Nothobranchius furzeri: one gene and its partners. The protein of the gene in region 1 purifies or fractionates together with the protein of each later gene. This does not show direct contact. Links are inferred from orthologs where the notes say so. Each region holds a gene or a part of one and is shown in the gene's direction. Other genes may lie near its edges.

Region 1 (3,760 bases):
AGTTCTGGGTGGGGGCTAGGGGTGTGGAGTTGGCCGGCCCCGTGTGGGGATCTGGGCAGGGCTTTGGGGGTCAGGTCCTGACATTTATGCTGCCAGGAAGAAGGTGGGAACATACGGCAGTGCCTGGCCCGGGCTCAGCGGCCTCGGGTAGACCTTGGCTCCTCTGCTGTTCCATCACAGGGGAGGGGGAGGACCCAACCTTACCTGGATGTCCTATGTCTTATATGTTCTGGAAGCTGTGCAAATGCAGGGATGGGAGTAGATATTCTGCTGGGGTGGGGCTGCGTTGGTTCCCTCGGACTCCATGGAGCTCTGCAATGCTGCTGCTTTGGCCTTGGCAAGATGGGCTGGGGTCTCCATGCCCTGGGTGGCATTTTGGCAATGGAAGTGCCTATTGGGGCCAGTGGGAGCTGGCGCCCTGGAGGGCTTAGGCCAACCAGCCATTCCTCCCCATCCCCACACATTTTTCTCCTCCTGCTCCCTCACATCATCACACAAACATGCACATAGGACTTTGAGGGGTGGACAAGTCAGGGGTGCAGGTATGGACCCCATTTCTGCATTCCTGTGGCTGCCTGCCCCCCAATTTTATTTGCAAATTAAACACTTCCACCAACGACATTCCACGCAAACACACACTTAGGGCCTTGGGAGTAAGCACATTCAACGGCATTTGGCAAGGGGATCTTTCAGCCTCATCCCATGTGCCAGTGCCCACTTCCAATTTTAAACTGCACTTAGACACAGAGGGCTGTGGGGGGAAGAGGGGCGGTGTGGTGGCTAGGGCTGTCACGGTAACCGCAAAAATGAAATATCGCAATATGAAGAAACCCACCGCGCTGCATCATGAGCCACCGCGATTACTGAACTTGATTCAACTCAATGATGCATGTTGAGAAGGATGGCTGCACTGGTATCAAAACGAAACGTTACTTCGCTCCTTTGGGAGCACTTTGGTTTTCAGTATGTGAGCTGCTGCGCAGCCAGAGTCCTTGGCCGAGACAGAGCTGCCACCAGCGGCAAAAAAATAATAATAAACGCTCGGAGACCTGCTGAAGTCCCGGACAAGCACTGCTTCTGCAACCGTCCCGAAGAGAGTTTGAGCCGAGCTGGAGCTCACTCGCTACCTGCAGGAGGAATGCATCCACCCTAAAGAAACCCCCCTGACATGGTGGAGCAACAACCGGGAGAGATTCCCTTTGCTCGCCAGTCGCACGCAAGTACGTGTGCGTTAGTGCAACGAGCGCACCATCCGAGAGGGTTTTCAGTGTTGCTGGAAATATTGCCACCCCTCTCAGATCCTCTCTCAAAGCGTATATAGTTATCATGCTGGTTTTCCTTGTGGGTAACAAGGACGTGACCGAGCTATAAAGCACCGTCATTCGTGTGTGTGAAAGTGAAATGATAGTGCCCCGCGCCAGGTACATGTAATTTTTATGCTTGATTTTAAACAGCTAAACAAAATGGGGACTTGTTTCTTATTTGTTAGGTGCTGCAGCCAAATTTGCATTTAAAAGTTTAACCTCCTGAATTTTGTTGTTTTTAAGTTCAGTCGGACTCCGACTGTCGGAGAAACAAACGTTACTGCGATCTGTGTTGTTACTGCCCTTTGATCTGCATTCAGTAAAGTGTTATAAAAGAAGGCACGGCAATTTTTAACCTTTTTTAAATGTGTAAACATTATGTTTAGATAGTACTGCAATAAAAAGAAAATGCTGCAATAATATCGCACACCGCAATATTAAGCCACCCTGAATCACCGCAGGGGGAATTCCTCAACCGTGACAGCCCTAGTGCAGGCATCAGCTGGCGTAGGCCAGACGATGCCTGCACTGCCCGCTCACCACAGCCACAAATACACCTCATCAACACGCACCAACACTATACTGGAGCAGGCAGAGTGAGACTAGGGGTCTTAGCACACCTCTGTTGTCGCTTGGCTTCCTGGGGCTGGAGGCTAGGAGGGAGATCTGGCCGTCTGGCTGGGGTCTGGGGTGGTGGGTTGCTGTGCTCAGCGTTGGGCGGGGGAGCCTGCTCATCAGCACCCCAGCAGAAAGGGTCAAACTCTGGTAACCGGTGATGGTTGTACCCCCTGTGCAGCAGTACCGGGACCAGAGTGAATAGGGTGTGTATGGGGAGCATGAGTGGGTGTCTGGCATGCATTTTTGTGAGTCTTAGGTTGTATGTGCATGTGTGAGCATGAAGGAGGGAGTGTGTGACTGTGTTTGTGTATGACTGTATATGTCAGGTGGGGCTTTTGACTCCTCCCCTCTCCTGGGACTTCTGCGTCTGCCTGACCAATCCCGGTGGCTGCCTGGTGGGATCTGGGTCCCTGGACTCTGTTGGGTCCCCAGCGGGGCTGGTCGCCCCTGGGTCCCGGGACACTGGGTTCCGGGCTCGGCCGGCTAGGGGGTGGGAGGTTGCGGGCGGGCCTGAGGGCTTGCCGCTGATATCTCCCGGGACTCAGCCAGCTACTGGTTGTGGCCCCCCGGGGCGATCCTCTGCTCCTCTCGAGGGGGCAGGGGCTTTTCTGGTCTCAGTCTCCTTGGGGTCCCTGTGCTCTGGGGCAGTACCTGAATCTCTGGGACTTGGAGCTCCCTCCGTCTCCTACACATCTTTGGGGGGCAGATCTGTGGCCCCTCACACTCTGTTGGACGCTCCTATAGAGAAACCTTACATGGGTACACACGACGCACACAGGTGCTCACATGGTGCTCTCATAAGTATGGACTTGGGCACGTTCAACACATATCATCTGTGGTTGGCACTAAATGCACTGTGATGTATGTGTGATTGTTCAGTTAAACAATGTTGACTTTATATTTCTTCATCAGGTTGACGCGGTGATAGCTTGCTCCTGTTGTATGTGTGTCCCTTTTCTTTTTTTCTTTTTTTTCCTCCTTCTGCAGGTCTAGAAGCTCTTGTTCATCATTGATTGATTGTTTTTGTGGAACCTCCCCCCCCCACACACACACACACACACACACCTTTTGTCTTTTCCTTTCTCTTTCACCTCTGTCTCCGTGTCTGGTAGGAATAACAAAGCATTCAAAAACAATAACAATAAAGTTTTAAGTATCAGGCGTGACATTAAAAGCAAACGCTTTGATGCTCCACCTGAGAGTAAATCTGTAAGGCTTGTCACCAGCATTCAGACATCAATTCTGTTTACTTCACAGCCAGACAGGACAGGGGGAAAAATAAATTTAAAAAAAAAGGAATACTGGGTACTGCTGAGTTCTATGGTTTTATTCTCTTTCTGACCATTTCTAATACCTGAAATGTTCTGTTGTAGGTCTGGAACAGTGCAAATCCAGAGATGATGAAGGGGGTAGAGAGGAAGAAGAGGACTCTGATACAAAAGACCATGCTGTCAAGCATAAAATTCCTTCTGAGATGGTGGGTCAGGCCATTTCTGTAGTGGGGAGTTACACTGGGAAACCCCTCAGCACAGAAGCTCCAGCTGTCAAAAAGCTTCCTGAACCCATTCTCCCCTCGGCACAAACCAAGTGAGGCTGCAGCTCAGAGAAAACGTCACAGTCAGAAACATCTGCAGCACCTGTAATTTGATTTTATTGTTTTTCTGCAGGATGAGCGGGGCAGGTGGGAGGAAAAAGGTGTTTCGACTGTCCGACGTTGTTCAGCCTTTTTCAGACTCCCAGATTGAGGTGTTAACTTCCAAAGCGGTGAAGCGCATTTTGCTCTCAGAAAAGGCGATTTCTCAAAGTGGAATGTCCCATGTGAGTGATGGTTAGGTTTT
Region 2 (4,534 bases), on another chromosome or scaffold:
TACACCACGGACAACTCCAGAGTTTATCACAAAGAGGAGCTGAAGAGTTTTGAAATACAAACAGAGGTAGAAATAATTAAATCTGTCTATAAGATTTCATCTACATTCTAATTGGTACTTTATTTATCTTTAGCACACGGATGCCGTTGAGTTTCTGATCCACTCGTATCCCAACTTTGTGACAGTAGGAGGCTTGCCATGCGACTCTGCTCAGGACAAGGTGGGTTCTGACATTCAAACTCGTTTCTGTGCCTTAATGGTGTGAATTTCTGAAAATAATCTAGTTTCCTCTCTCCTCACAGATTGCTTTGGCCGAACTGCTTTTTGAGAAGGGGATTATCCGCACAGCTGAGCCTCCTCAGATAGCTTAATTACACCGACCATGTTCATAAACAAACTTCAGTAGTCATGGATACGGTTCTTTCGCAGCTTTTTGATACATAATGTATAAAATAAACATTATTTCTTTGAAACACAAAGGGCATGTTTATTTTTTAGTTGATACAACTCAAAATAATATACAGGATGTTTTTCAATTAAGCGATTTGAAGACCATCCATCAACCATTCACACTTCAGCTGACAGGACTGTCTGGGCATCTACTTCCAGGTCACCTCTTCGCCAGGCTTCAGCTCTCTATCAAGAAGAAAGGAGGTTTGTTTTCCATGTGGCTGCATTAAAAAAATCTTTATTCCACACCTGAACTTGCTGCTTGCAAAGTTAGATGAATTGTGAGACCGTGGTATGTGTGTGTGAGGTTTCTTACCTTCTAAACAACACACTTTTGTTCCTGAAAGCTGTCAGCTTCTGGTCTTGTTGTTTATCAAGGTACCATCCGATCACAAAACCCATAGGAACCAATACGTGTGTCCAGTTTATCTGAGAAAGAGCAAACTTCACCATGGTTCCTACAAAAAAAGCACAGAGTTGTACTAACTTCATAGTACTGATTATGTTTTATATTCACTAAAGCTTGTTACTGGTATCAATCAAGTTTAAGCTTGTTCCTGCTCTTTTTTGGGGGTGGGAGTTGTTTTCAGTTGTAGTATGTTATTATCCAATTTATTTTTTCTTTTTTAAACAAAAGAAAACATGTTCATAAGAGCCAAGCTCCAAAACAACGACATAATTATGGCCATCAGCTTATTGATGTTGGATCAAATGCAATAAACAAAACATCCCCCTAAAATATATGATGTAGGACATTTTATTAAGCAAAGAAAATGTTGAAATGTAACCGAAAATACAGCTGGACACCGCATTCAGTTGAAGCTAAAGCGTTCCTCCACAGCTAACATGCTAAACACTAGCGACTACTGCGACGTTTGGTTATAAATAACTTTACCTGTTAATGTTTAGTTTAATAAACGTTCGCTCAAAGCTTTTATAACTATCAGACTCAGACAATAAAACATAAATCCAGAAATTACCCGCTTTTTAACACAGTCGTGGCCTTCAGGTCTTCCTTCACCAAACGAAGGACATTCGTGGACTCTACCAAATGCAAAAGGATCACGTGATCATGAAAATCGATAAATACTTACATATTTATTTCATTATATTCTATATTCATTATATTGAATTCCAATTTTTTGCATTTTTTATGTTTTAAGTTTAATATAAAGAACTTTAAATTATGTGTTTTGATTTAGAACTTCTTGACTGTAAGTGGTACGTTCATTTGCCCTTTCACCTGTGACGAACGTGAAAACATGGCCGCTAGTCGAGCTGTTAATTGCTAACAAAAATGTCTTGGATGTTATTATTACAAGAAAACCCCCACATTTAGGCGTTTTTTTCTGTTACTGCGAAAGATAATATTTATTTTTTTCTTGTATTTGATGGTATGTCTCCCATTCCCTTGATTTTGTTCATTCATATACGCAAGCTAATATGTGGCTAAGCTAGCAGGCTAAGCAGACTGCCGGGTAATTCGACAACAATTGTTGCGAAAATCAGACAGCTTTCATTTAGATTTTCTTACGTTTTAACCTTTGTAACGAGATGAATACAAGCCCTTGTACTCACAGTGATATGAAATTCACTATTATTGTTCGGTAAAATAATGGCACATGTGTGCGTGGTTTTGTTCATATTCAAACTAGTTTCAAGAAATAGACGTTGAAGTTGTTTGTACTTGTGGGCTCTGTTGTGTCATTTCAGCGAGACAAGTGAAGGAAAATGACGTCCATTATCAAGCTGACAGCCGTGTCAGGGGTTCAGGAGGAGTCTGCCCTCTGTTACCTGCTGCAGGTGGATGAATTTCGCTTCCTGCTGGACTGTGGATGGGACGAGAACTTTTCAATGGACATTATTGATGCCATGAAGCGGTAACAATGTCAAACCATAATTAACAATAAGAGCTATCCACAAGAAGGAATGGGTTGTTCACACATTTTCCAGAGTTGCTGAAAACATTTATTTATTTCTTTATTGTAAAATCAGTTTGAACTCATGACTTAAGTAGTTTTTCCACCCCTAGCTCACTTAATTTTGTGTTTGTTCTGCAATCAAAAATATTGTTCATCATCTCTTCCAGATATGTTCATCAGGTCGATGCAGTGCTGCTGTCCCACCCTGACCCCATTCACCTGGGAGCCCTGCCCTATGCTGTTGGCAAGCTGGGTCTAAACTGTACTATCTATGCCACCATTCCGGTCTACAAAATGGGTCAGATGTTCATGTATGATTTATATCAGGTACTTAAAATTGTAATTATATTAAAAAATGCTAACATATACATTGTTTTGCATAAAACTCTGTTTTTTTTAAATATTTTCCCTTTCCCTCAGTCTCGAAACAACAGTGAAGATTTCACGCTCTTCACCCTTGATGACGTAGACAGTGCTTTTGACAAAATCCAGCAACTGAAGTACTCTCAGATTGTCAGTCTGAAAGGTGAGCATCCTACAATCCATTATAGATTAAAGAACCCTCCAGTTTATGTGGTTAAAATCATCTAATTTTCCTCACAGGTAAAGGCCATGGCCTTTCCATCACTCCTCTTCCTGCTGGACACATGATCGGAGGCACCATATGGAAGATTGTCAAGGATGGAGAGGAGGAAATTGTCTATGCAGTGGACTTTAACCATAAGAGAGAAATGTAGGCAGAGGTGTTTGTATAAAACAGAAATCTGGTAGCCTGTCGGGTTTTAGCTGATGTGTTCTTTTACTCCTCTCTGTTTCAGCCACCTGAATGGCTGCACTTTGGAGAGCATTAGTCGTCCATCCTTACTGATTACTGACTCCTTTAATGCTACTTATGTACAACCACGCCGCAAGCAAAGAGATGAGCTGCTGCTCAGTAAGTTGTCCTCACAACGGTTACCAATTTTAGCATCAAGCTTAAACTAGATTGAAAGAATTTCTTGAAAATAGGTGTTAGGGTTTCAGCTTGCATGTTTAATGTTCTCCCTTCACTAATTGTCCTACTTTTACAGCTAATGTAATGGAGACCTTGCGTGGGGATGGGAATGTCCTTATTTCCGTGGACACGGCTGGACGCGTCCTGGAGCTGGCACAGCTCCTGGACCAGATTTGGAGGACAAAGGATGCTGGACTGGGAGTTTACCCGTTAGCTCTGCTCAACAATGTCAGTTACAATGTGGTGGAATTCTCCAAGTCCCAGGTATCAGTCACTGGTTTTCCCACTTCCTTAGTATTGAAACGGAGACCTCGTAGGAAATATGACAAACTACCGCATTTCTAATTTCCTGTAGGTGGAGTGGATGAGCGACAAACTCATGAGGTGTTTTGAGGATAAAAGAAACAATCCCTTCCAGTTCCGACACCTGACCCTGTGTCACAGTCTGGCAGACCTGGCCCGGGTCCCCAGCCCCAAGGTGGTGCTTTGTAGCCAGCCAGACCTTGAGTCTGGTTTTTCCAGAGAACTTTTTATTCAGTGGTGTCAAAACGCAAAAAATTCCATCATCCTGACCTACCGCACCACACCTGGAACGTTGGCGCGCTACCTCATCGACAACCCTGGGGAAACGATGCTGGATCTGGAGGTGAGACTGGGTTTTTGATGACCAACTTTTCACGTGGTCTTTGTTTCCTACTTTCACACTTAAAATGTTTTGTTTTATTTTTGGCAGGTCAGGAAAAGAGTGAAGCTCGAGGGCAAGGACCTGGAGGAATATCTGGAGAAGGAGAAAGTGAAGAAGGAAGCAGCAAAAAAACTCGAACAAGCAAAAGAGTGAGTCTCAGTAGGAAAAGGAAGAGTTTATGTATTTTTCTGACTCTTTCTCAGCAGTTTGAACCTGTCGATGTCAGAGAACAGAAATAAATGACCTTCTAGGTGATTTTAATCTGTTTTGTGCTTGTTCCACTCTACTTCCTGGGTTTGCAGGGTGGATGTGGACTCGAGTGATGAGAGCGACGTGGAGGATGACATCGATCACCTAGCTGCGGTGAAAACCAAGCATCACGACTTGATGATGAAGAGCGAGGGGAGCCGTAAAGGCAGTTTCTTCAAACAGGCTAAAAAGTCTTACCCGATGTTTCCGGTACACGAGGAGAGGATTAAATGG
Region 3 (2,454 bases), on another chromosome or scaffold:
CAAATAAACAACATGATTACAAAATGACACATTTTAGGCAAAATTGAGACACAATTTGAGGACAATATTTTCCGGATATACAGGGTTTATTTAGTTGTTTGAAAATGTAACACGTTTAAAAAAAATACCGCGATAATACCGAAAACCGTGATAATTTTGGTCACAATAACTGAGGTTAAATTTTCACACCGTGACAACCCTAGTGGCAGTAAATGAGCACCCATAAGAAATTTAACTTAAAATCAAGAGAATTATTTTCTCAATACATTTTAACAGATGGCGCTTATTTGCTGCTTGAATAACTATAAATCTATTTAGATTTGATTGACCTTTAGCAGTAAAATAAACTTATAAGTTGAAGGTGACATGCATTCTAAGTTTCTGATCTTATACAGGCCTGCTTCAAGTACTACTGCCGCTCCTGCTGGCACTGGCAGCACTCGATGGACATCTTGAGCAACCATCGGCCCCTCATGCGCAACCAGAAGAACAGGGACTCCAGCTAGAGCAGAGGGATCTAGACACTCTGCAGGGTCAGAGGAGGAGCCTCTACAGAGCGAGGCTGCCCGCCGGCGAGAGCACGGGTGTCGGGCGTCCCTCGGTATGGGGGCACTGTGGCACTCCACCAGGCACTGGGGTTTTCACTGTAGAAAATGTTCACTTTTGCACTTGCTACTTTTTTGCTGTTCACAGTGGCACTATGCAGTGACCTTGTTGGGAATAAACAAGGGGCCCTTCACACTAAAAGCATTTTCTCAGACTTGTGGCCAGACAAAGTGAGAGTCAGCCTAACGTTATGAGGTGGACGAAAATGCCCTTTGTTTTGATTATTTTTGTTTAAATGTGTTGCATAGTGAAGAGCAATCACGCAAGTCTCATTGCCATTCATTGGCAAATGCCATACAGTGCCTTTAAATTTTTATTTTTTCCCCTCTTCCCTCCCCTTATGCCAGTTGGCACCAGTTTTCCTGTACAAGCCAACTGGTTTCTTACTTTTGGGAGTTGAATGTTGGGCTTCATTTAACCAGTCGCATTTCAGACATTTTTACGCAGTTTTTTACTAATTTGTACACAAACGGTTTTAAGTCATAACATGAAAATTTTGAACAATTATATAAGGTGGCTGTTGATGGGAAACCCCCCTTTTTATTTTTTCTTCATACATTTCAGTGGCTTTTTTTATTTGCCTTTCCGTATTTCAGCTGAATGGGCACAAAATGTTGGATGTAATACTTCTGCTCACTTTGATCCAGTTATTAAATATTCATCAGTACTAGTGCGTCAATTGGTAATCCACTGCTTCTAGAGCACTCAATAGATCCCATTTGAAACTGGAGTCATTTGACTGTTTACTTTATTCCCTTTCCCCCCACATTTTAATTTGCACGTGTGGAGAGGTGGCAGTGGTTTTTAATCACTTTTGTACATTGATGGGGGACATGCCTGTTAAACCTGCTGCTTGTTTCCTGTTTGATGTAAGAACTTCCACTTAGCTGATTAACTATCCAGAACTTGAGTAGACCCCCCCCCCCCCTTCTATAAATGATCCCCTCATTCTTATGCCATTTAACCTTCCTGTTCCAGTTGGATGTAAATGCATACGTTGTGTGCCAAAGACGAGTGTCTTTCTTTATTTGTTAGGTTTGTCATGCTGAGCTTGTTGTCTTTTAGCCCAGCTGCTTTTTAGAGTTTTGAAAGTCTACCTCATTGTGGTCTGCCAAGTTTGCTGCTACTTAATTGTGGAGTATGTTCAGATTGGGCACAATAAAGGTGTTTAAGCATTAAGATGTCTGGGCTCCAAATGGTTTGTTATTTCAGATGTGCATTTAAGCTTTTCAGTTTTACATTGGTATTGATTCTTTATACAGATCAGGATGGTCTTGTTCTATTTCAGTTTTGCTTTAGCTGACCTAATTCACTTGAACATGAACAAAAACAAAGATGATTTTAGACTGCAGAAGAAACAGGGTGGAGTCAAACACTGTTTGCACCATGGGAGAAGTGGAGGTGATTGAGGAATACAAATACCTTGGAGTTCACCTGGACAACAGACTGGACTGGAGAAAGAGCAGCGAAGCCGTTTACAAGAAGGGACACAGCAGACTGGTCTTCTTGAGGATGCTTAGGTCCTTCAATGTCTGTAGCAAGATGCTGCAGATCTTCTAAAAGTCTGTTGTTGAGCCATCGTCTGTTGGGGTAGTAGCATCAGAAACGGGGACCTGAAAAGGCTCAACAGCCTAATAAAAAAGGCTGGTTCTGTTCTGGGGACGACTGTGGAACCACTGGAGGAGATAATGCAAAGAAGGATTCTCCAGAGAATCAAGAAAATGATGGACAACCCTGAGCATTCTCTTCACAAGACTGTCCGACAATGGAAGAGTGTCTTCAGTCAGAGGCTTCTTCAGTTTCGCTGCAACACTGACCGCTACTGGATATCCTTCCTGCCAACAGAAA
Region 4 (4,331 bases), on another chromosome or scaffold:
TATATTTGCAATAAAGTCCAAAAGTGAAGAATTTGTGTTATTTATTGCTTGATTGTTCAAGCTACCTCACAGAAGTGATCTGTTGTTAAAACTTAAAATGAAAAGGTAATTAAATAAAAAAATAAGGAACATTCTGCACTGTTTCTTCCTTTTCTTTTTCTTTTTTTTTTATGTATCGAAAGTATCGGATCGGGACTCGGTATCGGCAGATTCTCAAAATCAAATGACTCTGACTCAGACTCAAGGGCAAAAAAACCTGATCGGGACATCCCTAGTACTAAGTTCTTCCATCCGGATTCTCACCAGTTCCTGGAGCTGGTAGAGCTGAGTTTGTTTTGCACATTGAATGCTAATCATCTTCTGAAATTTCCTTTTGCATATCCTTTTCCCATTTGGTTTTTACATATTGTGAATTATTTCCATTACATTTTTTAATACAGCTGTATAATTTAGAAACTACCTTGGACGGCAATTGGTTTTTCGAGTTCAGTATAATTTTAACCAGCACATTACAGTTTCCCGCTAGTTGTGGTTTCACCTGAATGTCAGAGAAATGCCTCAGTTGTAAATATCAAAATAAATCTTTGTTGCCTATTTTAAACTCTTTTTTTAACATTTTCAAAAGATTAAAGGTGGACTCTATATTTTTACATTTTTTGTTTTTGTGAAGCGCCTCGTGATTTTTATCTTGAGAGGCACTATAGAAATGATATTTTCTTCTTCTTCTTTTATTACTTTTTATGTGCTCTTGCTTACTCTTCCATGTCAGTTTGTGGGCCCCCTAGTTCCAAAAAAATGTATGAGCCAATAAGTTGTTTTCTGATCCTGTTTGAAATGTGCCATTGTTTTGACATATGATGTCTGTGAATTTAAAAAATACAATTTTATGCCAATAAAGTGTTTATTTTTGACAGGTGACAAAAGTTACTTTAGGTTTTGTGTAAATGACGTAGAGGACGGTCTACAAATACTTGTCTCACCAAATTTATGTAATTGAACCAGACACAGAGAAGATGAGAAAAAGAATGGTGACAAGCTGCAAATCCTTCCAGGATGAAAGAAGATACATTAAATATGGAGAAAACCACCACAAATCTGGCCATGTGGTAAGTAGCAACTATGCTGGGGGAGAAGAGACTCAGCTGTGACGTCACAGACCCAGCGTCAGATCAGTAGTGATTTTAATTACGAAATTGTACAAACAAATAAATTTTAAACTATGTGACAGACAAACGAAAATTAAAAATGACTACATATTTTAAAACAGAAAAAAAAACTCACTATAAAATAGGAATCTAGTAAGGTTCATCCTGGAAATAATTTTACAATTCATAATATTCTTCTCAATAAGTACTCTTCTCATTTTTCATGAAACAAAAAATTAAAGCAAAAATAAAAAAATAAAAAATAAAAAATAAAGAGGCAAGCATTTTCCAAGTGAAACGTGAAAGGCCTCGTTTATCGATTAGTTCAGTCTAGATCCGTCAGCTCGGTGATCGTTGTGCGCGCGCCAACACCGTCACGCTGAGCAACGAGTAGAACGATAACTAAAACGGAACTGACAGACCTGAACCACGGTCAGAAGTTTTTTTTTACGCAGTAAAACTACAAACTTAGTTTATTTACATGTTTTCTAATTATATTTTGTTAATCTGTTTGACCGTCAAGTTTCGTTAGCCTACGCTTTCGTTAGTGTGCGGATGAGGTAGCTAAGCTAACAGGTTCGATTTCAAGCTAGCACAGGCGAAAACAACTTATTTGGCTTGAGGGCAGAAAACCAAAGCAAACATGCAGGACTTGTTGGCCACCGTGGATCACATCAAGTTCGATCTGGAACTAGCTATGGAGCAGCAGCTGGGAGCGCAGCCTCTGCCTTTCCCCGGCATGGACAGTAAGTGTAGGGATGCTACCTGCTATTAGCCGCTTTATCTGAATGAACCCTAATGAGAGAGCTAACGGCAGGTACACACATGCTTGTGTTAATCAGTTCTGTGCTAATGTGTCCCCCTGTAGAGTCAGGGTCAGCTGTGTGTGAGTACTTCACCAGAGGAACCTGCATGAAAGGTAAAAAAATATAATTTCAGTAGTTTTTACTTCGTTTTGTTGTTGGTCACGGGTCCATGTGTGTTTCCATTAGACACACAAATGCTGCTTATTTTATTTTAATCTGAAACGTTCATCAAAGCTTTACAATTCTAAATAAAATGTATTGGTAACCCTCCACTCACTGGTTGTCTCCGCATCATGGTTCTGAATTCCTAATAAAATTCTTTCTAGTGTGCAATAGAGACTATAGCTAAACCGGTGCAATCTTTTCATAAACAGACCTTTTCTATTTATAAAGTGTTTATTGTTACTCTTTGTCACATTTTTATGTTACTTATGATTCTCACTTCTATTTTTATGCCAAACACAGAGTCAACCACCGCTTCTGATCTCGCTCTTCCTTGTAGTGACATTAACATAAAAGATTTGATTTGTATGACAAAAGAGGAGAAAGTATTTTGACTTGATTTCTTCTGACTCTTGTTTTTGTAGCTCTGCAACAACCCGACTTTGCAGTTGTTCAAATGAGATGAATGTTGTAACTGTGAATGTGATTCAGGTGGGATGTGTCCGTTCCGTCACATCAGCGGAGAGAAGACGGTGGTGTGTAAACACTGGCTCAGAGGACTGTGTAAGAAAGGAGACCAGTGCGAGTTTCTCCATGAGTATGACATGACAAAGATGCCTGAATGCTACTTCTACTCAAAGTTTGGTTAGTTGACTTTCTCTTTATCTTTAACACATTAAATGAATTCTAAGTGTGGCTCTTGTGCCTCTTAACCACTCAACACTTGTCTTCAAGGCTCTGAATATTTTATTTCTTATATGTGTTGACCCCCAGGTGAGTGTAGCAATAAGGAATGTCCCTTCCTGCACATTGATCCAGAGTCTAAGATCAAAGACTGTCCATGGTACGACCGAGGCTTCTGTAAACACGGTAAGATCCGGCATGTGGGTGAGAAAAACTCTTTTTCTGCTCTTTCTTCAAACGGCTTCTGGATGTTTGTGTGTTCAGGGCCTGACTGCAGACACAGACACACAAGAAGGGTGATCTGTGTGAACTACCTGGTGGGTTTCTGTCCAGAAGGAAAGTCCTGTAAATTTATGCAGTAAGTCATTTGTTTTATTTGATTTTTTACATAAATTACCTGTTTAAGATCCAGTTTTTATTTAGTAAAAGTGGATTTTTGGGTTAGGAGATTCTGAAATAACACAATCAAAGATGTAAAATTTACTGAGATGTTTTCCTGCAGCCCCCGGTTTGAGCTGCCTATGGGAACTTCTGAACAGCCTCCTCTTCAACAGCAACTTCAGAACCAGACAAAGGTACGACCACTCACTCACAAATTTATTAAACAACTCTTAGTTCAGCCAACTTTAAAAAAATTATTTTTTCTGCCTTTTTGAAGCAGGTGAAATACATAAATATTTACTATTTTTTCTAAAGAGCTTCTAGAAAAGCCTCTGTTGGGAGAAATAAAGTTTAAGTCTGACTGGACTGATGAGCTAATGGCTAGTCTTGGAGCTACTGAAGTGTGTTGTTATCTGCAAACAGCACCAATCTTTAGAATTAACTCTTTGGGCCCTGGCGCCTCCCAATTGGAGGCCTTTGGAGTTTCATGTCCCAAATGTCAGTGATTGTTTGCATTCCCCGAGTACAGCTACAATCAAAACAGTTTCGATTTTAAACAAAGCAATTTTTGGATTTTGATAAATTAAGATAAAATAATACTTGAACTTAATTTTAGAAGAGGAGGGCTGTGTGACAGGGTGGAGGTTGTGAGTTCAAATTCGATTTCAGAAATTTAGTCTTATTTTATTTATTCCAGGGGTCCTCAACTAAGTTTGTTCAATCGTTTTTTGCAGCAGACACCAGTGAAGGCCAGACGCTTTTCTAAAAGTTCAAATATCATTGTATCTTAATTTATTACAATTTAAAATGGCCTTGTTTCCCATCTGGGCTGTTTGATTGTGGTTTTAGTTGTTTGGAGAATGTGGACAGTTGTAGATGTTTGGGACATGAAACTGTAGAGGTCCCCAATAGGGGGCGTTAAAACAAGAGTTTGAGTAGGGCTGTGCAATAAACCGAAAATGTATCGTTATCGAGGAGAAATCCTCAATATATCGTGATATTGATTTTAGGCCAAATCGCCCAGCCCTACTTTTGAGACACATTCACTGCCATCCGTATCACATGACATGGAATTATCTGGTTATTTTCCAGCAGCAAGTCAGGGGTTAAGTCCTCCTGGAATTACTTAATGTTTCTCCTCTTTCCTATTCAT

The links.
Region 2: the proteins of sympk (region 1) and cpsf2 purify together in Homo sapiens (co-immunoprecipitation; 8 studies listed by BioGRID and IntAct, with this or other methods). This does not show direct contact. The link is inferred for Nothobranchius furzeri from reciprocal best matches to the Homo sapiens genes SYMPK and CPSF2.
Region 3: the proteins of sympk (region 1) and cytoplasmic polyadenylation element-binding protein 1 purify together in Homo sapiens (affinity purification with mass spectrometry; 3 studies listed by BioGRID and IntAct, counting the BioPlex papers as one, with this or other methods). This does not show direct contact. The link is inferred for Nothobranchius furzeri from reciprocal best matches to the Homo sapiens genes SYMPK and CPEB1.
Region 4: the proteins of sympk (region 1) and cpsf4 purify together in Homo sapiens (affinity purification with mass spectrometry; 4 studies listed by BioGRID and IntAct, counting the BioPlex papers as one, with this or other methods). This does not show direct contact. The link is inferred for Nothobranchius furzeri from reciprocal best matches to the Homo sapiens genes SYMPK and CPSF4.

Annotation. Positions count from the first base shown.
Region 1 is NC_091747.1:24,049,565-24,053,324, reverse strand, and holds part of sympk (symplekin), read left to right. Parts: intron 1-3,295; coding exon 3,296-3,509; intron 3,510-3,589; coding exon 3,590-3,740; intron 3,741-3,760. UniProt on the Homo sapiens protein: Scaffold protein that functions as a component of a multimolecular complex involved in histone mRNA 3'-end processing. Specific component of the tight junction (TJ) plaque, but might not be an exclusively junctional component. May have a house-keeping rule.
Region 2 is NC_091742.1:9,301,791-9,306,324, reverse strand, and holds the start of cpsf2 (cleavage and polyadenylation specificity factor subunit 2), read left to right. Parts: upstream 1-1,693; 5' UTR 1,694-1,844; intron 1,845-2,163; 5' UTR 2,164-2,181; coding exon 2,182-2,330; intron 2,331-2,539; coding exon 2,540-2,699; intron 2,700-2,792; coding exon 2,793-2,898; intron 2,899-2,975; coding exon 2,976-3,105; intron 3,106-3,190; coding exon 3,191-3,306; intron 3,307-3,442; coding exon 3,443-3,630; intron 3,631-3,721; coding exon 3,722-4,012; intron 4,013-4,099; coding exon 4,100-4,200; intron 4,201-4,353; coding exon 4,354-4,534. Other genes in the region: riox1 (ribosomal oxygenase 1), read left to right, coding at 1-66, 134-220, 303-371; NADH dehydrogenase [ubiquinone] 1 beta subcomplex subunit 1, read right to left, coding at 600-636, 767-903. UniProt on the Homo sapiens protein: Component of the cleavage and polyadenylation specificity factor (CPSF) complex that play a key role in pre-mRNA 3'-end formation, recognizing the AAUAAA signal sequence and interacting with poly(A) polymerase and other factors to bring about cleavage and poly(A) addition.
Region 3 is NC_091749.1:46,243,905-46,246,358, reverse strand, and holds the end of cytoplasmic polyadenylation element-binding protein 1, read left to right. Parts: intron 1-395; coding exon 396-506; 3' UTR 507-1,785; downstream 1,786-2,454.
Region 4 is NC_091752.1:65,592,301-65,596,631, reverse strand, and holds the start of cpsf4 (cleavage and polyadenylation specificity factor subunit 4), read left to right. Parts: upstream 1-1,486; 5' UTR 1,487-1,788; coding exon 1,789-1,891; intron 1,892-2,013; coding exon 2,014-2,064; intron 2,065-2,605; coding exon 2,606-2,758; intron 2,759-2,887; coding exon 2,888-2,983; intron 2,984-3,061; coding exon 3,062-3,155; intron 3,156-3,299; coding exon 3,300-3,372; intron 3,373-4,331. UniProt on the Homo sapiens protein: Component of the cleavage and polyadenylation specificity factor (CPSF) complex that play a key role in pre-mRNA 3'-end formation, recognizing the AAUAAA signal sequence and interacting with poly(A) polymerase and other factors to bring about cleavage and poly(A) addition.